Linked DNA regions of Oreochromis niloticus. The protein of the gene in region 2 purifies or fractionates together with the protein of the main gene of each other region. This does not show direct contact. Links are inferred from orthologs where the notes say so. Each region holds a gene or a part of one and is shown on either strand. Other genes may lie near its edges. The genes, in order: trmt112 and bud23.

What was found.
Region 1: the proteins of bud23 (region 2) and trmt112 purify together in Homo sapiens (affinity purification with mass spectrometry; 5 studies listed by BioGRID and IntAct, counting the BioPlex papers as one, with this or other methods). This does not show direct contact. The link is inferred for Oreochromis niloticus from reciprocal best matches to the Homo sapiens genes BUD23 and TRMT112.

The regions. Positions count from the first base shown.
Region 1 is NC_031966.2:20,624,754-20,636,567, forward strand, and holds the start of trmt112 (multifunctional methyltransferase subunit TRM112-like protein), read right to left. Parts: upstream 5,315-11,814; 5' UTR 5,189-5,314; coding exon 5,114-5,188; intron 1,687-5,113; coding exon 1,585-1,686; intron 1,044-1,584; coding exon 951-1,043; intron 220-950; coding exon 118-219; 3' UTR 1-117. Other genes in the region: atg2a (autophagy-related protein 2 homolog A), read right to left, coding at 8,078-8,314, 8,543-8,701, 8,819-8,973, 9,069-9,190, 9,298-9,380, 9,470-9,539, 9,768-9,930, 10,134-10,218 and 5 more. UniProt on the Homo sapiens protein: Acts as an activator of both rRNA/tRNA and protein methyltransferases. Together with methyltransferase BUD23, methylates the N(7) position of a guanine in 18S rRNA.
Region 2 is NC_031979.2:23,121,758-23,132,698, reverse strand, and holds the start of bud23 (18S rRNA (guanine-N(7))-methyltransferase), read left to right. Parts: upstream 1-5,488; 5' UTR 5,489-5,628; coding exon 5,629-5,676; intron 5,677-5,971; coding exon 5,972-6,009; intron 6,010-6,885; coding exon 6,886-6,981; intron 6,982-7,665; coding exon 7,666-7,748; intron 7,749-10,400; coding exon 10,401-10,497; intron 10,498-10,587; coding exon 10,588-10,684; intron 10,685-10,761; coding exon 10,762-10,812; intron 10,813-10,923; coding exon 10,924-10,941. Other genes in the region: dnajc30b (dnaJ (Hsp40) homolog, subfamily C, member 30b), read right to left, coding at 3,093-4,223.

The DNA.
Region 1 (11,814 bases), on a different chromosome or scaffold from region 2:
CCAGTGGCCCGTTTTCCAACTCTGGCCAGAGTCCAGCCTGTCTCTGAATGCACGCAATCCAGAGTCAGAAACACAGTTTAGGGGTGAGGAGGTGAATGGGAACCGCGGCGGTGCCATCTACACCTCGTCTTCATTCAGCAGCATGTTGGGGATTCCTTTGGAGATCGGGAACTCCCGTCCTGATTCAGGGCACTGCAGACAGCCCTCTATCACCTCCACCTACAACGCAACGGACAAGAAGTCACCACTAGGTGGCACCATAGTGCAAAATACACACACATTATCACGCTCTCAAACACACTCCATGGTGCTGGACTGAGGTGATGATTTTACATGATTTTACAGGGTGATTTTACTGGGTGTACACAAGTATAAGCAGGTTTAAGGCATTTTAAAACCCTTTTAACACCACCTGAAATTAAAATTAGGACTAAAGTTGAAATGAAAATACACTGAAAGTGTAAAAGTACAAATAACTTGATCTTCAAGAATATTATCCAAATGATTTATGTCCCAGGTGTTTATGGTACTGTGTTTGTGAACTGTATGTACACATGTTGTAGATGTTTTACTGTCACCAGGTAGCAGTGTGAGTGGGCTGCTCCTGGTTGTGCTGTAGTTTTGTCAGCCAGTCAAGAAGAAGAGTGAATGACAGGCTCTGTGGCCTAAGGGGCTTAAAGTTAGATGAAGTATCAGCCCGATGTTAGTGTCAAGCATTTTTACACATATAAAGCCAGCTTGAAAGATTTTAACGCAGCAGTCGCATTTTGTAGACAGAGTAGTATCAGTGTTGATTACCCACAAACAGCTGGCAAATCTAAATTTCACAGATTTCTTCTAGTCGTGCCCACTAAAGACACTGATGTTTTGGTGTTTTTGCCTTTGAGGTCACTTCCACAGTGACCTTGAAGAGACAGGGGGGGTAAAATTGGCATCTTGGAGCCATTTACCTCTAACAGCACTCGGTGCACTTTCTTCAGGAAGTCTTCGTTTTTCTCGAAGTCCTGCACCAGCTCGCCTGGCAGGTCCTGCCGATGACCCAGCTGCAGAGAGAGAAAGGATTGCATTGGGTGTTTACGTTACAACATGCACCCCAGTGATCTAGTTTACTGTGGAGCATTTTTTTATAAACACAAGTCCTGTGACGCTTTATGAATCAATTAGATTGATGCAGTATCACCAGGAAGGCGTAGCGAGACAACAACCTCATACATAAAAGCCAGAGTCATAAAAAATAACCTTATTCAGCCTGTGGTCACATGAAAAGGGAGAAGAAATCCACACACACTCAAACAACCTCCCTTATTATTCATCTTAAGAAGCAAGCGTGCCGAGCACTGATGTTACTTTCAAGGCAAAGGGTGCTCACCGAATATTAGTTCTCTTTTTCTTTTTATGCCACTTTGAATCATTTTCTTAACCACTCATCCAGCTCAGGTTCACTGGAGCCCATCCCAACAAACAGTGAGGGGCAGGACACAACCTGAACAGGTAGCCAGTCCATTAAACATTCATCCATTCAAACTCACACCCCAATACAGCCAGTTTAGCATCAACAATGAAAGTCGGTGATGTCTGACTCACCTCCTCCGCTGCGTGGACCAGAGCGCCCCACTCCAGTTTGGGGATCATCCGGCTGACAAACTGAGGGTTAAACTCCACCTCATTCACCTTCACCTCAGTGGCCTGCGCAACAGAGACGCACGAGTTTAAAAAGTTCAGTATTACCACTCATTCAAAACACGCATGCGTGATGTCACACAAGACCAGATGTGCATATTTGCCTATTGCAAGCATGTTACTGCTGGCAATAGGCAAGGGTTTAAATGCAACCCATCAATAATTATAGATGAGAAACATTTTAATGTTTGACGCAATTATATACTTGTTTTCAGTGAAATGTTACACAGCTGATGTACAATGTAACCATCTTCAACATTCCCCTGAGATAATATCCAAATTTCTGCTGTGCTATTTTACATTTAACTGTATATGAAAATAAATAAATAAAAATAAAAGATGTTTATGGGGTAAACAGCAGCAGTAACTATCAACCACTCTGTCGTGTGTGTAACAGGAAAAAAATATTTTTAATTAATCGTGACTACTTCTTAAAATCTCACACCGGATTTCACAAGAATAAAATTAGAATTAAGCTTTATTGTCACTGACGCAGAGGTTACAGTGACATTAGGAGCGCTGCCCTGCCATCTGGTGCATAAAAAAGTATATACAGTCACACACGATTCACACAAGCACAAATTAGACAACATGATAAAACGCTCAGTGTAAAGTGCATTTCAGTGATTCAGCAACTGTTACTGCGTGTAATGGCAATTTTATTTGTACAGCACATTTCGTTTTATATATATAGATAAAAACATAAAACCTGTGTAGGTTTACAAAGGCTTAACACCAATTAAGTGTAAACCCGTGTGAACAAACTAAATTTGTGTATGTATGTAAGTGTAACTGATCTCAGATCAGTATGAAGGCTCTGCAAAAGAAACTCCTTGAGTCTGGATGTGTGGTGATAAAGCTGCAGTATCAACTATTAAAACTTAAATAACAGACTTAATTTCTTGCCAATACATCTGACTGTGGAATACCCAGTAGTGATCTTATAGTGCCATTTCATCCCATGCGAGCACTTGGCTCTCAGAGCGCAGGCTGACTTCTGGTTCCTGGAGTTTGCAGGAGAAAAAATGGCAGAGCCTTCAGCACTACAGGGAGTGCAGAATTATTAGGCAAATGAGTATTTTGTCCACATCATCCTCTTCATGCATGTTGTCTTACTCCAAGCTGTATAGGCTCGAAACCCTACTACCAATTAAGCATATTAGGTGATGTGCATCTCTGTAATGAGAAGGGGTGTGGTCTAATGACATCAACACCCTATATCAGGTGTGCATAATTATTAGGCAACTTCCTTTCCTTTGGCAAAATGGGTCAAAAGAAGGACTTGACAGGCTCAGAAAAGTCAAAAATAGTGAGATATCTTGCAGAGGGATGCAGCAGTCTTAAAATTGCAAAGCTTCTGAAGCGTGATCATCGAACAATCAAGCGTTTCATTCAAAATAGTCAACAGGGTCGCAAGAAGCGTGTGGAAAAACCAAGGCGCAAAATAACTGCCCATGAACTGAGAAAAGTCAAGCGTGCAGCTGCCAAGATGCCACTTGCCACCAGTTTGGCCATATTTCAGAGCTGCAACATCACTGGAGTGCCCAAAAGCACAAGGTGTGCAATACTCAGAGACATGGCCAAGGTAAGAAAGGCTGAAAGACGACCACCACTGAACAAGACACACAAGCTGAAACGTCAAGACTGGGCCAAGAAATAGCTCAAGACTGATTTTTCTAAGGTTTTATGGACTGATGAAATGAGAGTGAGTCTTGATGGGCCAGATGGATGGGCCCGTGGCTGGATTGGTAAAGGGCAGAGAGCTCCAGTCCGACTCAGACGCCAGCAAGGTGGAGGTGGAGTACTGGTTTGGGCTGGTATCATCAAAGATGAGCTTGTGGGGCCTTTTCGGGTTGAGGATGGAGTCAAGCTCAACTCCCAGTCCTACTGCCAGTTTCTGGAAGACACCTTCTTCAAGCAGTGGTACAGGAAGAAGTCTGCATCCTTCAAGAAAAACATGATTTTCATGCAGGACAATGCTCCATCACACGCGTCCAAGTACTCCACAGCGTGGCTGGCAAGAAAGGGTATAAAAGAAGAAAAACTAATGACATGGCCTCCTTGTTCACCTGATCTGAACCCCATTGAGAACCTGTGGTCCATCATCAAATGTGAGATTTACAAGGAGGGAAAACAGTACACCTCTCTGAACAGTGTCTGGGAGGCTGTGGTTGCTGCTGCACGCAATGTTGATGGTGAACAGATCGAAACACTGACAGAATCCATGGATGGCAGGCTTTTGAGTGTCCTTGCAAAGAAAGGTGGCTATATTGGTCGCTGATTTGTTTTTGTTTTGTTTTTGAATGTCAGAAATGTATATTTGTGAATGTGGAGATGTTATATTGGTTTCACTGGCAAAAATAAATAATTGAAATGGGTATATTTGTTTTTTAAGTTGCCTAATAATTATGCACAGTAATAGTCACCTGCACACACAGATATCCCCCTAAAATAGCTAAAACTAAAAACTACTTCCAAAAACATTCAGCTTTGATATTAATGAGTTTTTTGGGTTCATTGAGAACATGGTTGTTGTTCAATAATAAAATTATTCCTCAAAAATACAACTTGCCTAATAATTCTGCACTCCCTGTATACTGACTACCTTTACGATTAGGGCTTAAAACCTCTCATCATCATGAAGATTATAGCTGGAGCTGGATCAGGTTATGCTGCAATAGGCTCGGATTATTTCCACTCTCCTCACATTTTATCCCACTAATTGATGTCATTAAGTTTTGTTTTCTCTCTCTGATAGTGTGGGTTTTGTCCTTGTCTCTCTGTACTCTCCCTTTATTACTCTCCTCTTACTCCTGACCCTGCCAACTGTTCCTGGATTCGTGTTGGTATTTAAACTGTTCTTAATTACTTTTTGACCTATAACAATATCAAGCCTTACCAAGCCTATCAAGTTACTTTTCCATATTCTTATCGAGGTAAAAGCGCTCCCTGACATTAAAAATGTCTTTTTTTTAATGAGAGAGCTGCCCAAGAGGTCAGTAGAAAATGCAACAAATATAATATAACCACACTATAAACGTATTTTCTTCATTTTATATATGGCCCCTTCATAAATCATGTAGTTTAGAACCTGTTTACCAAAATAGCAAAGATATTAGCCGTAAAAACCGCAGAGAAACAACAGACGGCTGCCCTTCCCTGAGCCTGGATCTCCCGAAGGTCTCTTCCTACTAAAAGGGAGTTCTTCCTTCCCACTGTTGCCAAATGCAGCTCAGAGGGAAACATCTGATTGTTTGGGTTTCTCTCTCATCCTGGACGTCTCAGCCTTACAGTATAAAGCGAACTGTGAACTGCTGCTGCATAAATCAAACCTAAACACTAGAACTCGGCGTTAGCAGAAACGTGTGTCGCGATAAGCTCGGTGAGCTCTGGTGTTTTAGAATTAGCTGCTGTCCAGGTGTTTCGCGGTTACCTTGATGAGCAGTGGGTATCCCTTGGTGACCCCTTTCACGTGAGACGTCAACATGTTGTGCGTGAGGAGCTTCATGTTTACAAACAGGCGCTAAAAAGCCAGAAAACTGCGAACACTCTGACAGCTACACGTAAACCACGCTGCGGCGTTTACATGTGCACCGGAAGTGACGGTGGTACGTCGCGTAAAAGATTCCCGAAGCTTCCGTTGATTCCTAGTGGCTTTTAATTTATTATTAGGGGTATTTTTTAAATAAAGGCACATTTTCTGCACCACAAAAACACTAAAACAAATATTTGTCGTATAAATTATACAAAAAATGTTTCCAAAATATGTAATATATAAAGTAGCTTTTGAACACCCCTCTTTTTTGTTTTTTTCCCTCTTGTTCCTACTTCTGCAGTACCAAACTGCAGGTCAAATTAGAAAGTAAGTTATAATTCCATCTTTTCTTTGTTTTTTGTTTTTTTGACACGTTTGTTATAATGATCCAACCAGTTTAAATATGTTAAATAATATTAACGTATTTTGATATATTTTTAATATATTTTACATAACAGTAATTTTGCACTGCAAGTTTCTGAAAAATCAGTTTTTTGGCAGCGAAATTTATATATCCTTTATTTTGTAGATTTCGGTCACACCTATTTAGCCTGGAACCGGAGGAGACAAACCAGAGAGATGAACAAGAGAAAGTGACATGAACACCATAGGTAGACCAAAGGTTAGTCCTCTTTGACATATTTTGTATTTTACCAGTCTTCACCGTGTCACTGTAACTAAAGACACATGAATTTTAAAAGTTTCCTTCCTTTATTTCTATAAACGTTTGTTTTTCTTAAACACATAATAGAAAATTACAGAGTTTCTCTCTGCCTTTTGTTCTTTTTATAATTTTTGAAGTCTAAATTTTCCTCCAACTATAGAATCGCCCATTATGTATTTAGTGTAAAAAATTAAAAAGTGTGATTTTTTTTGTAATAACCCTTTCATCACGCAACATGCACAAAGATTATCAGAGAAAAAAGTAATGAAAGAGATTAAAGTTAAAAAAGTTAAAAAAAAAAAATATGCAAATGCACTATTCTCAGTATATTTTATAAAAATATTATCAATACTCAGGATTTGCAATATAATTATTGATGCACCAGTACATACTTAAAGGTTTAATTACTGCAGCAGCTCAAGATTGAGTTAGTTTGAGTCTTACCTTTTTTAAACAAGTGAAGATACCAGCCCTCATTTTGGATGTAAGTAATTACAAGTAAGTTCCTGAAATGCCATAGTATACAAACTGTACAGCAACAACACTGCTTAAATTAGCAATAGATACAATAAATAAATAATAACAATAATAAGATTCATAATAATAAAAATACAATAAATAAATAAATAAATAAAGGCAGACAGGTGTTCAGTTTTTATACTCAATTTTTTTTAATTTTTCTATTAATTTTGTATAATCCTCATCTTTGTATTATACAGGTCATTCATACAGTTTATGATATAGTAAATAGTAATTACACGCAAGAGGTGTAACAAGCATCAACCTGTCACCTTCACAGACGTGCATCATGTGTGCACACAAACACATTTTCTCATCCTCACACATTCACAGACAGACACACACACACACACACACACACACACAGAGACAGGGACATGCGTCCCTCACACTGATTAAAAACAAACAAACAAAAAAAGAGAAAATGTAAAACATTTTTAACCCTAATTTTTCCATCCTCCATTTTCACCAGATTCACATACCTCTTTACTCTTACTCTGAAAACAAATATGACAATACTTATGCTTTAACAAAATAATAATAATATTAAAAAAACACTAAGAAGAAGAGACAATTAAAAAAAAAAAAAATGCAGAAAGGCAACTAAAGATGTGGGCAGAGGACTTCTGAGGACATAGTGGGCTAATTGAGATCCCAGGATCTGACATTTAACAGGAGAGCTGCAGTGACGTCAGCTTGGAAAAACGATCATCTTCGTGAAGCTCGAGCAGAATCCAATATGCTACAAAATTTAGAGACTTCATGTGACCCGTTGTTTCTGTTCAGTCAGGTATGCCACTGTATGTGCTGAGCTTTGATTAGGGGATGAGGTACAGGTCCGAGGAAGGCAACACAAACTAGTTAAAAAGGACACTGTAAGGTTTATGGCACGAATAACAGCACTGAGGGTAGCGGGTGCATAGTGGGAGTCACAGCTAAACCAATCACACAGCTTTGTACCATCTGCAAGGGTGTTAAGCAAAGGACACTTGATCAAAAATATTTTCAGTTTCCATTATGAGCACAAAGAGAGCAAAACTAACACATGGCAACCCCCTCATAAGACAGGTACCCCCCACTCATCTGCAGAAGGCTCATTAAAGTGAAGCTGCTCTCAGTCAAAAACATCCCTTCTCCGTGCAACTCCGTGCAACTCGTGCTTAAAATCACTGCTTCAAATTACAAACAGCTTCAAGCATCACAGTTCAGAGCACACAAATGAGTGAGGAAACAGAGCGTGATAATCTTACCTGCCCCCTCTGCCCGGGTCAGACTGAAAACGAAGCCAGCAGAAAGTGACCGCGATATGTTTGCACTAACGTTAAGAAGAAAAAGACTAGTGTGTTACAGAGAGCAGGAAAACGAGCGAATCCCGAACAGAAAAATGAAGTCTGGCACGTCTATGTATGTGGGAGCAACATTAAACACTGCGCGTCAGGAACTGCAGCAGTAGTTAGTCCTTTTTTTTTTTCTTCTTTTTTTTTAAAATTTCTTCTTCTTTCCTTTTCTCTTTTTTGCATTGGAACACACGCTGACTCTTTTTAGAGACAACACACATGCAGCTACTCATACAACCCCTGGATTCCCACAGAATAGACTTTCCCAAATCATAATCTCATACTCTCGTATACACATACGCACACACACTTTCCCTCACACACAGACACAAAAAGCTGTCCTCATTCTTGGGCGTCCTCTGTGCGCCACTTGAGGAAATCTTCTTTTCGGGCGTCCGGTTTGATCTGGTTTCTCATGCCACCCAGGAGATTGGAGGTGGCTTCAGAGGCCACTATTAAAGGTCGGACTACAGTGGGCGGGATCTGCCGCAGGACGCCGCCCACGGCTCCGGGGAGACCTTTCTGTTCGTGGCCGCGGGATGCTACATCGCACAACTGTTGGGCCGTGTCAATCACTCCCTGGAGAGCAAAGAGAGCAGACAGTTTAGTCTAAAAATTTAGGGTTTCAGCCCCCTTTGCATTCATGCATGCTGAAGTTTCTACAGGGCCTTTTAACATATAGTTACCCTCTTCTACCAACATAGATGTAGCTGCAGAAATTTTCTTTTCATCCTCAGCCCTGGTTAACCCTGGCCTCTAACCCACGAACTCTTTCTACATTTTAAGAGCGTCTATTCGGGCACGCACCTCTCTGACAGTGTCGTAGGCCTTGGCCACTCCTTCTCTAAGGTCTGCAGGCTGGGCGACTCTTCGAGGTCGACTAGAGGTGGCCCGGCCTTCGGTGATGGCGTAGCGATTCAGAGGAGGCGTTGGAGACAAGATGTCGTACACGGTCTCTGCTGTAGCCTGTCACAGAGGTACACAGACACCAGAAGAGTTATCGGCATATTAGGAATGTGTGCTCTTTACCTTCAGGCTTTTAACTTCTGTGTAACTAAGAGTCATGATCTGCACTCAGAGTACCTGGATAGCCTGCACCAGCCTGTTGCTAAGCTCCAGAGCAGCGGATGCTGTTGAGGTACCAAAGGACGCTGCCCCCCTCTGGAGACCTCGAATGATGCGTCCATCCTTCCTGTACTGCTCTATAGGCAGCCAGAACAAATCCCTCACTCCGTGGACTGGACAGGATGAAGGAGAGAGGAAGTATGAATCACAATGCAATCAACAATGGAAAGCAGCTGTAAAAATGTTGCAGAAGACAAAAGCAACTTACACAGCTGGACGACTGAGTGCATGGGTCCGACACCTCCCAGGATGCCGGGCAGCTGATTCTTCCTGATGTCCGTCAGCCACTCTGTGACGGCGTACTGAATCACTTTGTCGACCCCGAGGAGACTGGAACATGCAGAAAGTCTCAGAAAGTCAAACTACTAACAGCAAATTTAGGGCAAATTACTGAAAAATAGCTGAAATGTTTGCTTGTTGGTTTGTTTTGTTTTTACCCGTGTCTGCAGCAGAGCCTCTTCAGTTTCAGCTCGGAGCAGTTTAATTGGGCCAGACCGATCAGAATCCCTGCAAACGTCCCCTGAGGAACAACAAGTGTGAAGACACATCATTTAAACCCTTTAGCTTTTTGTTTGAATCAGTAGACAGGATCTCTGAATGACCACTCACTTGTTCAATGACGACATGCTTGCCATGATAGTCGAGCCAGATAGGCACTTCAGATGTGAAACGAAACTCCCTGAAAAGGATGGAGACAAGACGCGGGAAACTTTATCAATCATTTAAACTTTTAGTCTTTGAGTTACTCTACTTTATTTAACCTAATTTGTTAGAGGTGAATTTTCTTCTTTGGCTTCTGTAACATAGGAATTTCCTAGCTAGTAACTTACATCATCTTTACAGTATTCTCTGCTCTTTTTTATTCTCTTTCTCTGGATTTCTCTCTCTCTTTTCAGTCACTACATACCGGAAGTAGATTGGCTGGTCAGAGGAGGTGCTGGAGCCAGCAGAAGAGGAACTCTGCTCACTGTAGGTAGTTTCCACAGAAGCTGTGAGGTCAGGTCCAAGACTAGCAGCAGCAGCAGCCATCTCTAGATCCTCAGACCCCTTCTGGGAGAAATCTGCCTTCACTGAAAACAAAGAAATTACAACAGGTCACAAACCTAGCATGCTAAAAATTCACCTCAGTCATCATTTAAATGTACTCTGTAGCTAATTAAAATTCATTGTGCCACAACGATGAACAAGAAAAAGACTACAACTCCATAAAAATCAGCTCGGCAGATCTGACATCAAAGAATTGAATGATAAAAGAAGACCTGACAGAGCTCACCTTCAGCTGCAGGATCCACAGGCAGGTAAGGATTAACAGAGGAAGCTAGATTACTAAAAAAGTCTTTCAGGAAAAACAGTGCGTCCTACACAAGAAACAGGAAAAAAAAATAAGAAAAGATGTGAATACTTTATGGGAGCAGTCCAAACAGCAGAATGAATGGTAGTGAATGAATTTTGAGCTACAAAGAAACATCTGTGGAGTGTGAAGCGGCTCATTTATGACGATCAAACAGATTTAATACATCTATACTCAAAATAATTTCTGCAGTAAGACTTGTTTTTTTGTGCCACCACCTCATGGATGAGGTTCAAGAGCAGCTCTCAGTATTCAGTCCCAAAAGTTACCTGGTCGATGTTGAGTCTCAGTGGCAGCAGGCTGACCCGGAGACAGCACTCTGGCCCCCCGAGGCCAGACTCAGGACACACCTGCAGGGCCTTCACAGTCAACTACAAAAATGAGACACACCACATGAGTACTATCATTCAAAGTCTGTTCAGCATGTCCCTAATTGCATTAAAGCTAAGCTAAATAGAAAGTGCACAAAGCAAGTAAAGATTTACAACATCAGGATGGTTTGACTCCAAGTCAGATGCTGTGCACGACAGAAAATTCAGTTCTAATCAAAGACCCTCCGTCTCTCTGTCTCACCATGTTGGAGTGGGCTCGGCGGGGCATGCTCTCACTAGTGTAGAGGTAGAGGAATTTGTTGATTTGTGAGGAGGCCAGTCGGTCTCGAACTTCCAGCTCCTGGACGATGAACACCTGCCTGGAGAGCGGCTGCTCACCACCGGGACCGACCCCGACCGCAGGTGCTGCTGACCCCTCCCCATCCTGCCCCGCTACAGCCACTGGGTAGGACTCATGCTGGAACGACACCTGGAGGACAAAACAGGAGACACATGTTGAGACAGAGGTATAGTGATGTATGGCTGTATGTCAATATGTATTTAAAAAAAACTTACATTTTCAAACCAGTGATATCAATGCATTAGTGTACCTTGGTGAGCTGTATCTCCATCAGCAGGCTGTGCTGACGGCCGATGCCTCCAGCTGAGCGCCAAGAGTTCTGCGGTCGAGAGGAGGGGGCGGAGCGAGAAGGTGACCCACGGACGCCAGCGGGGACTGAACGACCTCTGCAGAGAGGTGCACCCACACACACAGGAGAACAAAAAAACTATAAATCTGACAAACTATGTACACAACAGTTTCAAAAAACTTATGGACTGGACTGACCAATCAGTGTGCTAATGTTTCAGTACTTTAATATTTATATAATTAAGTATATAATAACCATGGGTATCTGTGCATGAAAGAATTCATGTGCATTGTTACCTGTTCGCGTTCTGAGCATGCAGAGACATAGGCCTGCCTCCAAAATCCTTTCCCCCGTAAAGGTGCCAGACCACAGAGATCTCCCGTAAAACTACCCTACTCTGAGGCACCGGGAAGCGACTCGGGGCTCGGAGCAGGTCTGAGCTGCCACGTGGCCGGGAAAAATGGCTATCCTTCACTCTAATGGGCCCCTCGCACAGCACCGTTACCGTGGGCTCCCCATCCCTGGGCTGTAATAAACACACATGTAGACATTTTGTGAGTGAGCACAGAGTCTGAAATGGGTTCATGAATGAGAGGTGACAGGGAAGTGAAAGCTAAGAGGGGACCCTCACAGGGATGCCCA
Region 2 (10,941 bases):
GGTATGAAAACTCATATGTACCGTGGGTTTGCTCTCTGTTTGTGTGTTTATATTTAACGTAACCACCCACCTTTATTCTATAATTAAGCTCTACGGCTGACAAAAAATGACCTGCCATACTTTCATGCTCCCCACGTAGACTGATCAGGGTGGCCAGTGATCTCAATTTAAAAAGCCACAGTTTACAAATGTTTGACTTATGCTAGACAACAAGTTAAAGACATGAGTCAATATTTGTAGTGCTTTTATGTCTGTAATATGTTACAGCTTGCATGCATTCATACTCACACAAAGAGCCTCGGGGAGCCCGTCAGGCCTCCAGCTGTAAAGTAGTGATCATTTCATTGTGCTGAGATGCCCTCTACAGGTCAGCTCTTGTAACATGGGGGGGGGGGCAAACACGGGTAAAATGAGAACGTCCTTGGCTAAAAATAAAGAAAAAAAATCTGCTGTGCACACAGTATTTAATTAGTAAGTATTTTCCTGCAAACACCAACTCAGTATCACATAATGCATTTTTTTAATTATTAATTTCTATTCATGAGGACATGATACAGTTATCTCACAATGAAAAAGAATCCTGGATTCAGGCCCAAACTAAAATGTAATCGCCTCTAAGCTGGGCCAGATCCTCAGCTCAGGTAATTACTAGGTAACTGCAGCGCTGTCGACTCACAGCGGGAACGCAAGAAGGGTTTGAGTTCTCAGGCCGGGGACTTTATCTCTGTACCTTTATAGCAGTGGTTCTTAACCAGTTTCATATGCGCATCCACTGAACCCCTCTTTAGTGAAAAATAAAATATGATTTTTTTCAAATTCAAGACATAGATATGTTTTTTACTGGTGCACAAAATGAGCCGTGCATGTCACGGCAGAGGCTCTGCCGAACCCCTGAGACCGACTCACCGAACCCCTAGAGTTCAATCGAACCCAGGTTAAGAACCACTGCTTTATAGGTTCTCTCCCTTTACACATGCATGTTAGAGTAACGTGTGATTCTAAATTGGTCATAGGTGTGAATGTGAATAGTGCTTGTCTCTTTGTGTTAGCCCTCCATGTTGTTGTCCTCTGCTTCCGGCAGCTGGAACAGACTCTGCCCTGATGCTGAATCAGTTAGGAACAAAAGGGATGCACTCCACAGTTTTATTGTATTTTTGGTACTGCAGCTTTCCTTACACATAATAATCGACTTTAAATTTTAATTTTACAATACATACACATATTTACACTGAAATAGAGAGAGGTGTCAGTATGTGGATAATGCTACTAATAACAGCTTATCTTATATGGAAACTTGTTTTTGCCGCTGAAAAGTCAAAATAAGTAACAAGATTGTAACTTTAAATTTTGACTTATGTATGGAAAAAAATAAATATTTTGTACCAAATCTTTTTTCCCCCCAGTGGGACAAAAAAAAGCTTCCATAATCTTCAAATTTTACTAAAGTGATTTTTCCACATTACAGAGCTGGAGTATAAGGAAGGCCAAAGGAATTGTGCATTATTCAGGAAGTAAAGGTATCTTCGTCCTTTTGAAGAAGTTTGATAGACAGAAATCAATCTGAACCACCAAAAGCTGTCTGGCTTCCCTCTGTTACTACAGAATAGTACAGGTGCTAGAAAGACTAACCCAAGGCTAAGCCGGGTACATGGTTTGCAACATGTTTACAACATGTTTCTACACCTATTTCATAGGTGCACAGAAAAGAAAAAGGGTCCAAAGAAGTCAAAGCTCCAGCAACCTTTGCAGTATAAAGAACAGTTTTGTGATTTTTACCAACCTGCTGCCTTCATCAGGGTAATCTTAATACCACAGGTGTTGTTGGAGCTTTGACCTCTTAAGACATAAAAACATGAAATGAGGTAATGAGGACATCACCCATACACTGAGTGTATCAGGGGTGTCAAATGCAGGGTAACACAAACTGTTACACTACAGGACAGCAGCGACATGTTTAACTTGTTCATAAAATGCACAAACATCACTGCACATGAGTGAAAATGGGTCAAAGTTATTGTTGCTTTTGTTAGTTACAACAGCTACATGTGAAGGTTTTGTGCTTTTGCAGGTCCACTGTGGTGTTTAATGGTTTCGCTCCAAACATCCCACTGTGGATCAAAATGGGCTGCAGGTGACTACAATGAGTTTGACACCCCTGACTTACATTCAAGTCCCCAACCTGTGGGGTGGTTTACAGTTTCCACTGCCTTCGATCCATCGCCCTTCTACACGTGGAGAAACTGAAACATTCAGTTGTCTTCTTACGGGACCGTACAGGACCCCTGCCTGTCTCAACCAGGTTTTGCTTTCTGTAATCATTCCTCATGTTTACACTGGTCATTAAGGACATGTTCACACCGTGTGTGGTTTGCATAGTGTTCACAATGAACCAATACAAACAAAAAAAGGGACATTCAGACAAATGCACAACCTGATTTTCCACTAAGTGTAGGCACAGGTTGTTGGATTTAAGCGATCTTCTTTTTAAATGAACTTTCAAAACCTTCAAAACCCAGTCTCTTTGTTTCCCTGAAAAGCGGTTCCACGCTGAGCTCAGGCAGATATAGAAATAGTGAGCTGCCAACAAAAGAGCCCGTCTTTCAAGAGGACATCCTCTTTGAAATGGGGACAGCTGAAGGCTCATTTTAGCTTCAGTTTTTTGAAAGGAAGGAGAAAACTGGGGCTTTTGTCCAACATCGCTTACAATAAAAACACATCATGCGTGGTTTAAAGGTCAATTCAATGTCCTGTGAACTATTAAAATGAAGCCTGGCCTCTTTTTTGTCATCACTTGGCATGAACAGGAGGAACGACTGTAAAAAGCAAGATCTGTTTTGTTTTTTTAAATCAAAGACTTGGAAAATGAACCCATGTGTTTAAACAATCAGTATACAGTACAGACATGGAGTCTAACAAGTTGCTGCTTGAAACAGCTTAAATAATCCGAGTGAGACGGTTTGTTTACTCCTGAAAACAAATGAACCTCTTCAGCTGTCAGCAACCGTGCAAACACTTCCCGTCTCCACCTCCTTCTCCTCACCCTGAGTGTCATAAAGTGCAGCCCAAGAAAGGAGCACCTCCGGCTGCCGCTTCTATTTCAAGGCCTTGACATTGATAATAATTAGCCCTGCCATGGCCAGCAGCATTACCACAGCCACCTCCATCATTTTCTTCTGCCTCCACCTGCTATGATGCTTCTTCAGCTCCTCCTCCATGCGCTGCTTCCTGGCTCTCAGGTCCTTCTCTCTCTGCAGCTGCTCCCCGTAGTGAGCCTGATAAAAGGCATCAAAATCAAATATGGGCCTCCCTCCAGGTTGGGAGAACTGTCTGGCTCTCTGCTGAGGCTTTTGTGGGGAGCCCGTGGATCTGCTGGAAGCCTCTTTACTGGAGGGTCTGCCTGCATTTTGGATGTCTGCCCGGCTCAGGATGCCACGGTCGTACTTCCTCCTCAGGCTGATGTTTCCCAGCACGGTGTAAGCCTCGCTGATATCAGAGAAGCGCTGGGTGGCCTCCTTGCTCCCGGGGTTCTTGTCAGGGTGGTAGATGAAGGATTGCTTGTAGTAAGCCGTCTTGATCTGAGACTGTGTGGCATTGAGAGACACTTTGAGGATGTCATAATAGGCAGTCCTGCTCCTGTGCAGCAGAGGAGTATCTTCTGAGCTCCAGCTGTAGCTTCTAGCTGCTGTGAAATTTGGCTTCAGGGTGTCAGGTCGCAGATTCAGACATCTCAGTCCGTGTCCACAGCCCAGCCTGTCTGATCCAGGATCTGCCAAGGTGAAGGTAAACGTGCAGAGAGCTTGGCGCTGTTGGGGGGAACTGAAGGTGTCAGAGTGGATGGAGACAGCTGCTGTCGTCCACAGAGTCCTCCTGCAAGGCAGCAGCTTCTTCTGGAGGAAAAGAGCAGCTTTATGAGCTCGCAGGCTCCCCATGTTTTCTAAAAATGCGATGAAACCGGAGGCAGCCGCACTCTCCAACACCTGACTCCCGCTTTCCTTCACTGTGGAAACTTTCTCTGACCTGAGAAGTTTTTCTCTGCTTTCTGAAGCTGACTGAACTGCACGTCCACACTGGACTGATTTCTCTGTAACCCGACCGGAAACGGAGGCATGGTTTGTTATATGACACCCGGGACTTTCTCCGGGGCACACGGCTCGACTCTGGCTGGTTTTGAGAGCGGAAAGCCGGTAAACTCCGTTCCCCAGCCTTTGACCGACCTCTGCCATTTTACCGAGAAGGGGCCGGAAAACAGCTGCAGCATCCGGCGCGTGAGAGAACGAGGACCCAATCAGAGTCAATGTTTACAGGAAGTAGTCAAACACAACCGACCAATCATTTAGCAGATCACCGGCGACATAAAGATCAACATAAACACTTTATTTATCGTGTAAAATTGAAGGAAATGAGGACAATTGATTTCTCTTTATCTTCTAAAATGTAAAATATAGTTGAAACATTTTAGAGAGATTTAATGTAAGTCCTCTTCTTTTACTGAAATGGCAATTCCTTATTCTTAAAACAGTATTTTTTATTTTCTTTTGTCATTTAAAAGACAGAGTAGCTACCTATTCAATACAGAGGCACAACCTTTGATAAGATTTTTCCGACTTTGTTACTGTGTGATTAATTAAACGTGAATTTTATAGAGGAAAGGGTTTCTATCTGTCTGGATGCTAATTAAAGCGGATATTTGTAGCTCTTTATGAGGAAGTGCTTCCTCAGATGAGATGATGACCACAAGAAGGGCAGCTTTAAAATATTGCAGCTCAAGAAATTTAAAAAAAAAGAGGATTTCATGAATGAATTAGTTTCTGCATAAAGTTCCTGTTTTTGTTGGAGTCAAGATGAATGAGAACCTGGATAAAGGTGCAAAAAATAGACAATAAAAAGATACATTAAAAAAAAAAACAGTAAGTTGGTGGCGATATGGAGGGTCAAAAATGACTATCATTAGTGATTATAATGATGTAATAAATATAGTATTAACAATATGGACATAAAAGCTGATTTGATTTTTTTCATTACAGTTAATCTACAAATATTATTCAGACATTTATCTCAAAATGTTGCCTTCCTAAACTCAATAGCAGTAATAAAAGACTGTCCTAGATTAAAGTCGAAAGATCCAAGATCCAGATTTTAAGTTGAAGTTGTAAGTATTTCAAATTTGCTACAAAAAATAATGCATGAGTATTAGGACCACATTCAGAATAAAGTATTAGAAAGTCGTTTTTTTCTAACAATTTATTATCAATTAATTAAAAGAAATTGAAATTCCAATTCAACTTGAATCTTTTTTATTAGCATTTTTAATTTTGAGAATTTAGTCAAAATTTAAGATAATAATAGTATGTTAGGATCAAAGTAAAAATCTATCTTGATAATAAAAAAGTATCTTTTCATATGTTTTTATTTATTTATTTATTTAGAAAGCTTAGGATGGTCCGCACGGCAGGTCAGAGGGGGGCAGTAAAGCGCTACATCGTTCCAAACGGTGCAAAAGAAGAAGAGGCGGGTCGTCGCTTGTGAATGACGTCACCATAATTCACGTGTGGGTCTTTTGCTATCAGGCAGCTTGTTTATAAAGTAAAATTACTCCCGTAACATAACGACTGACAAGGAGAAGCGAGTATGGCGTCCAGCTGTCGACGACCCGAACACTCAGCTCCTCCAGATGTGGTCAGTCGGACGGTTTATTGTGTTTTTTTTAGCTTTTGTTTTCTGCCGGTGCTTCTTCTACAGGAGCATTTTATATCTGTAAATGGCTCTTTAAAGGCCTCCAGCTGAAGCAGCTTTAAAGACATGGTTTAAATGGTTGTTTAGTGAACATGAGTCGGTTATTTATTTCAATCACAGGATGTGATTTGGTGAGCTTTGTGTTGGTCTGGTTTAAATGATACTTGAAGCTGAAGGCTTGTATAAGTAAACTGAAGTGTTGCTGATCTGTCAGTCTGATGTGCTCTAATTTCTCCAGTTCTACAACGAAGAGGAGGCCAAGAAGTACTCCCAAAAGTGAGTGTGGATGTAACGATACTATGTTTGTGACTACGTTACATGTTTATATGTAACACACTGCTCTTTTTTTTATCCAGTGTCTCTGTGTTTCTGTCCTTTGACATAATTAAACTGTGCGCTTAATTTAGTTTTTTGTTAGGGTTGCATTTCTAACATAGAGAATCTAGTTTTATTTCAACCCTTTTACTGTCCGCTGCACTTTATATATACATTCTGTATATGAATGAGACACTTCATTTAGTAAACCATTTTTATTCTGCCTTCATGGCTTCATGACTGCTGTTTATTTATGTTTAATTGGAAAGCGTTTGGTTTTAGGACTAAATGAGCAATCAGTTAATCTGTATCAAACCAGGTACAGTCGGTTGATAATGAGAACTCATTAGTTGCACCTCTGGGTGAATGCTCATTACTGCACAGTTGTTCAGCGTATAAATTAATTTGAAGACCTCAGGAAAGGATACATTTTTCTGACTCAGACTAAATTTAAAGATGCCCCATGTTTAGCCTCTTTCATACACTCCCACCTTGGTTAACTTACTTTGATGTGGGACACTGACCAAAGATTCAAACACCTAAAACTCCTTTGGGTCAAACATATAACAACTTAAAGAGGCTTTGTTTGTGGTTGTCATGTATGAACCACCCTTCCTCTTCCAAAAAAGGGGTATAGCTGTGTCATTACCCCCCTTTTCCCCTCCAATTCAGACGGATTTACTGTAAAACAGAATAGAGAACAGTTTTATGCCTTTCCGTCAGCAGCAAGTTGCCTGATTTTGTGTTCATAAGCGAGAAAGTTAAGTTTGCATATGCCAAAAAATGTTTTAATAATATAAAAGATCTGAAATCTTGTTGTGTTTTGTTGCTTCTTAGCTCTCGAATGATTGAGATCCAGACCCAGATGTCAGAGAGAGCTGTGGAGCTTTTGAGCCTGCCAGAGGGACAGCCCTGCTTCTTGTTGGATGTTGGGTGAGTGAGTGGCTGAATTTACTTATAGCAAGTACATAAAGTTAGAGATGTAACATGGTAGTACATATTTACTCTTAACAATAACATGAAAAGGCTCATTAATAAACTAAGCAGTGCTTTGACAGGTAGACTGCATATTGGCGATACTGTTGCATGAATGAATGTACGTTTAAAACTAGCTCCAATCAAACTTTATTGAATTCTTTATTAGTAATGGAAAAAAAGAAAAGAAAAAAGAAGTAAAGCATTTAAGGAAATCACTGAAAAATTGAGTTTTGAGAAACTGGCATTTTCCAGTACAGGAAGCATTTCCAAGAACTAGGAATGTTCTTGTGATTTGACTAAAAGGACGAGGGTCTAAATCAAGTTTCTGGGATATTATCTTTATCCTCCAAGAAGCCTCTTGCTTGGGGGATGCCGCAGTGCTTTTAGTCTAAGAACCTGGGAGGTGGGGGATGTAAACGTTTATGATTGGCTGTGGAGGGTTTTGTACCTCCCGGATTTATTTTAAGCACCGTTTTTTTTCGTGGTACTTAAAGGTGGAAATGTGGCAAAAGTCCGAATGTCTGCTGGTGTTGTAGAAAAGTCATTGTTTTGGGTTTTAGTTTGAACATAACTCATTGTAATGTGACACAGTAATCTGATGTATTTGTGATGAGAAACAATCTGGTCTGTGCCTCTCAGGTGTGGCTCCGGTCTCAGCGGAGATTACCTGTCAGAAGAGGGACACTACTGGGTCGGAGTCGACATCAGCACCGCGATGTTGGGTTGGTTTGACCCTCAAACTTTATATCAGTCATGATATACTAAATATATCATTAAAAATTTGTACATGTGCAGCTAAATACTGGCATATTCTAACACACCTGAAGGAAATGAACAGTCAGGCTACTGTTTTATTGATGTCCGTGTGTTAAAACATAATGTTTTTCCCAACATATAGTGCAAAGCTTGATTATATTCCAAAGATATTCCTAAAATCTGGTTACAGACTGGAACTTGATCAGTTAAAGGAAGACATTGTTAGCTTCAGGACATCCAATACATTCACACACTTATAGATAGTCATAAAACTAGAGTATAAAATGCATTCACCTACAGGGCTCGCAAAATTTCAAAATCCCTGGTAGCCCTTCGGGGAGGCACTCTTCAGTTTTTGGTAGCCCAAAATAAATTTAAGTAGCCCGAAAAAAAAAAATGAGAACAATTTTTTGATGGATGTTTTGTTTCCTTTACAGTAATATACATTAAAGTATAATATTGTAAAGGAAACAAAACATCCATCAAAAAATTGTTAAAACACAAATTACAACAATTGTATAAAAATTACAGTCATCAACTCAAATATTTGGAACTGTGTAGAACATGAATCAGTCTGTGTCAGATCCTGAATCTGAAATTTCTGCTTAAGTATAAATACATAAATGCTTTATAAATAAATACAGGCCATTTAAGTCCCGGGTAAGAGGTAAGTGGAACCAAGATCTAGGACATTTGCTTTTTGAAGTTTGCAAATACGGCTACATTTTGCCAATGGTATACTCTTTAGAAACACTGTTCTAAACAGCTTTTTCAGGACTTCTTGTTGTGCTTGGTTTATTTTTAGTATGTTTTTGCAATTGGTGTTTGTTCTGGGAAAGATACTGCAGACTGAGCAATAATGCATTTCTCATGGATTCTGATGGGGTCTTTCTTAAAATTACTGGTCCCAGTAACAAAGGCGCTTGTCGACTCAGATATTGAGGGAAACTCACGACACACCTGGCAGAACATTATGGTATTTACATTGTCATATTCCAGCCACAGAAATTCTTTTGTCCATGAAACCAAAAAAGCTGAGCTTTCTTTTTGCCTCATAGTCTGATTTGTCATAACTTTTCCTTTTTTTTGGTCGGCTTTTCTTTGGCTGCTCCTTCTTCACCCTGACCTTTATTATTTGGCTCTGCAGAACTAAAATTCCTGTGTAAATCCATCTGTTTTTACACACGTACTTACATAACAGTCAGCGATTCTCTGCACAATCAACCTCTATCACATGTTTAAGTTTGCTGTGGGAGATTTCACTTGTCACGTTTGAATAGTAGCTAATCAGTGATAAGACGATGTCAAAGGAATTGGTGCGCAATTAATCTGTCACTCACCAATCAGTACTGCTGCTCTCTATACACAGTTCGCGCGATCGCAAAGTGAAAGTAAAAGCCAAAAAAGAAGAAGCGAAAATTCAAACTCGATTTCACATATTGACAGTGGCTCATCGATGCCAATGACATAATTACTCAGCTACATTTGCGAAAGAAAATGCAAAAGCATTGACACATATTTTTCCTTCCTATGATAGCCCGACGGGCAGGGCTGAGTTAGATTTTGGTAGCCCGACTGGAAAAATCGCTAGCCCCGGGACGTCGGGCTAGCGATTTTGCGAGCCCTGACCTAGTATCTTTATTAGCTACACTTGTGCTAAGGTGCTGGAAACATCCCTCAGAGTTTGGTCCATATTGACATGATCGTGTCACACAGTTGCCGCAGATTTGTTATCTGTACGTCCATGATGTGTCAATAGATGGTACAGTGTGGTTGTAAATGAATGGACAGGGTCAGGAACAATACTCAGACAGTGGTTTTTAAACAATGGTCAGTTAGTACTAAGAGGCTCAAAGTGTGCAAAATCATATATCCCCACCACAATACACCACCAGCAGTCTAAACTGTAAATACAAGGCAGGATGGATCCACGCTTTAATGTCATTTAGGCCAAATTCTGACCGTACCATCCAAATGCTGCAGCAGAAATTGAGACTCATCATCACCAGGCAATGTTTCTCAAATCCAGTTTTGGTGAGCTTATGTAAATTTTAGCCTCAGTTTTCTGTTCTTAGCAGACAGGTATGGCCCTGGTGTGGTGGTCTGCTGGTGTAGCCCATCTGCTACAGCTCAGACGTGTTGTGCGTTTCAAAATACTCTTGATTTACTGTTGCTTTTCTATCAAGTCCAAGCAGTCAAGCCATCCTCCTCTGACTTCAACAGGATGTTTTAACTCTGAACTGCTCCTTATTGGATATTTTATTTTTCTGACCTTTCTTTGCAAACATTAGAAGTGGTTTTGTGGGGAAAATCCCAGCAGCTTCTGAATCCTCTCACCAGCCCTGATGGCATCAACAACCATGCTTAATTCAAGTCACTTAAATCACCTTTCTTCCTCATTCTAATGCTTAGTGAACTTCAGCTGATCTTCTTGACCAGGTCTACATGCCTAAGTACATCGAGTTGCTACCATGTGATTGGCTAATGAAATTTAAGCCTAAAATTTATTTTAAGCATAATAATAGATCCAATATGTGGTTAAGGTTGTTTTTGTGCATTTATGTCACCACAAGAAATGCATAAACTCTAAACAAATGTAATTCTCTTCTGTGTGACAGATGTTGCACTGGACAGAGAGGTGGAAGGAGACCTCGTACTGGGAGACATGGGCCACGGGATGCCGTTCAGACCTGGTACCTTTGATGGTTGCGTCAGGTAAAGAACAAAGGATACTTATAAGTCAGGCTCTTCCTGGGAATTTTGAATGATTTATGACCCCTTTAAAAAACTCTGTTTCTGTTTCAGTATCTCTGCCCTGCAGTGGCTTTGTAATGCAGACAAAAGGACGCACAGTCCCCCAAAGAGACTCTACACCTTCTTTAGCACTCTGTACTCATGTCTGGTAAGATTTTATCACTCAAACATCCAGGAAGCTTATTTTTGATGAAAACATTTTATAACCTCTCTTTGCTCTTTCAGTCAAGAGGCTCGCGTGCAGTTTTTCAGCTTTATCCTGAGAACTCAGAACAGGTAAAAGGGGAAAAAAACCCTTCTTGTTTCCATGAAGGCTCTGTGTCAGCAGAGGAACACCCTGAAGGTTTCTCTTCACTTACTTACCACTTTCCTCTTTTCTCTCCAAAGCTCGAGCTGATAACGACA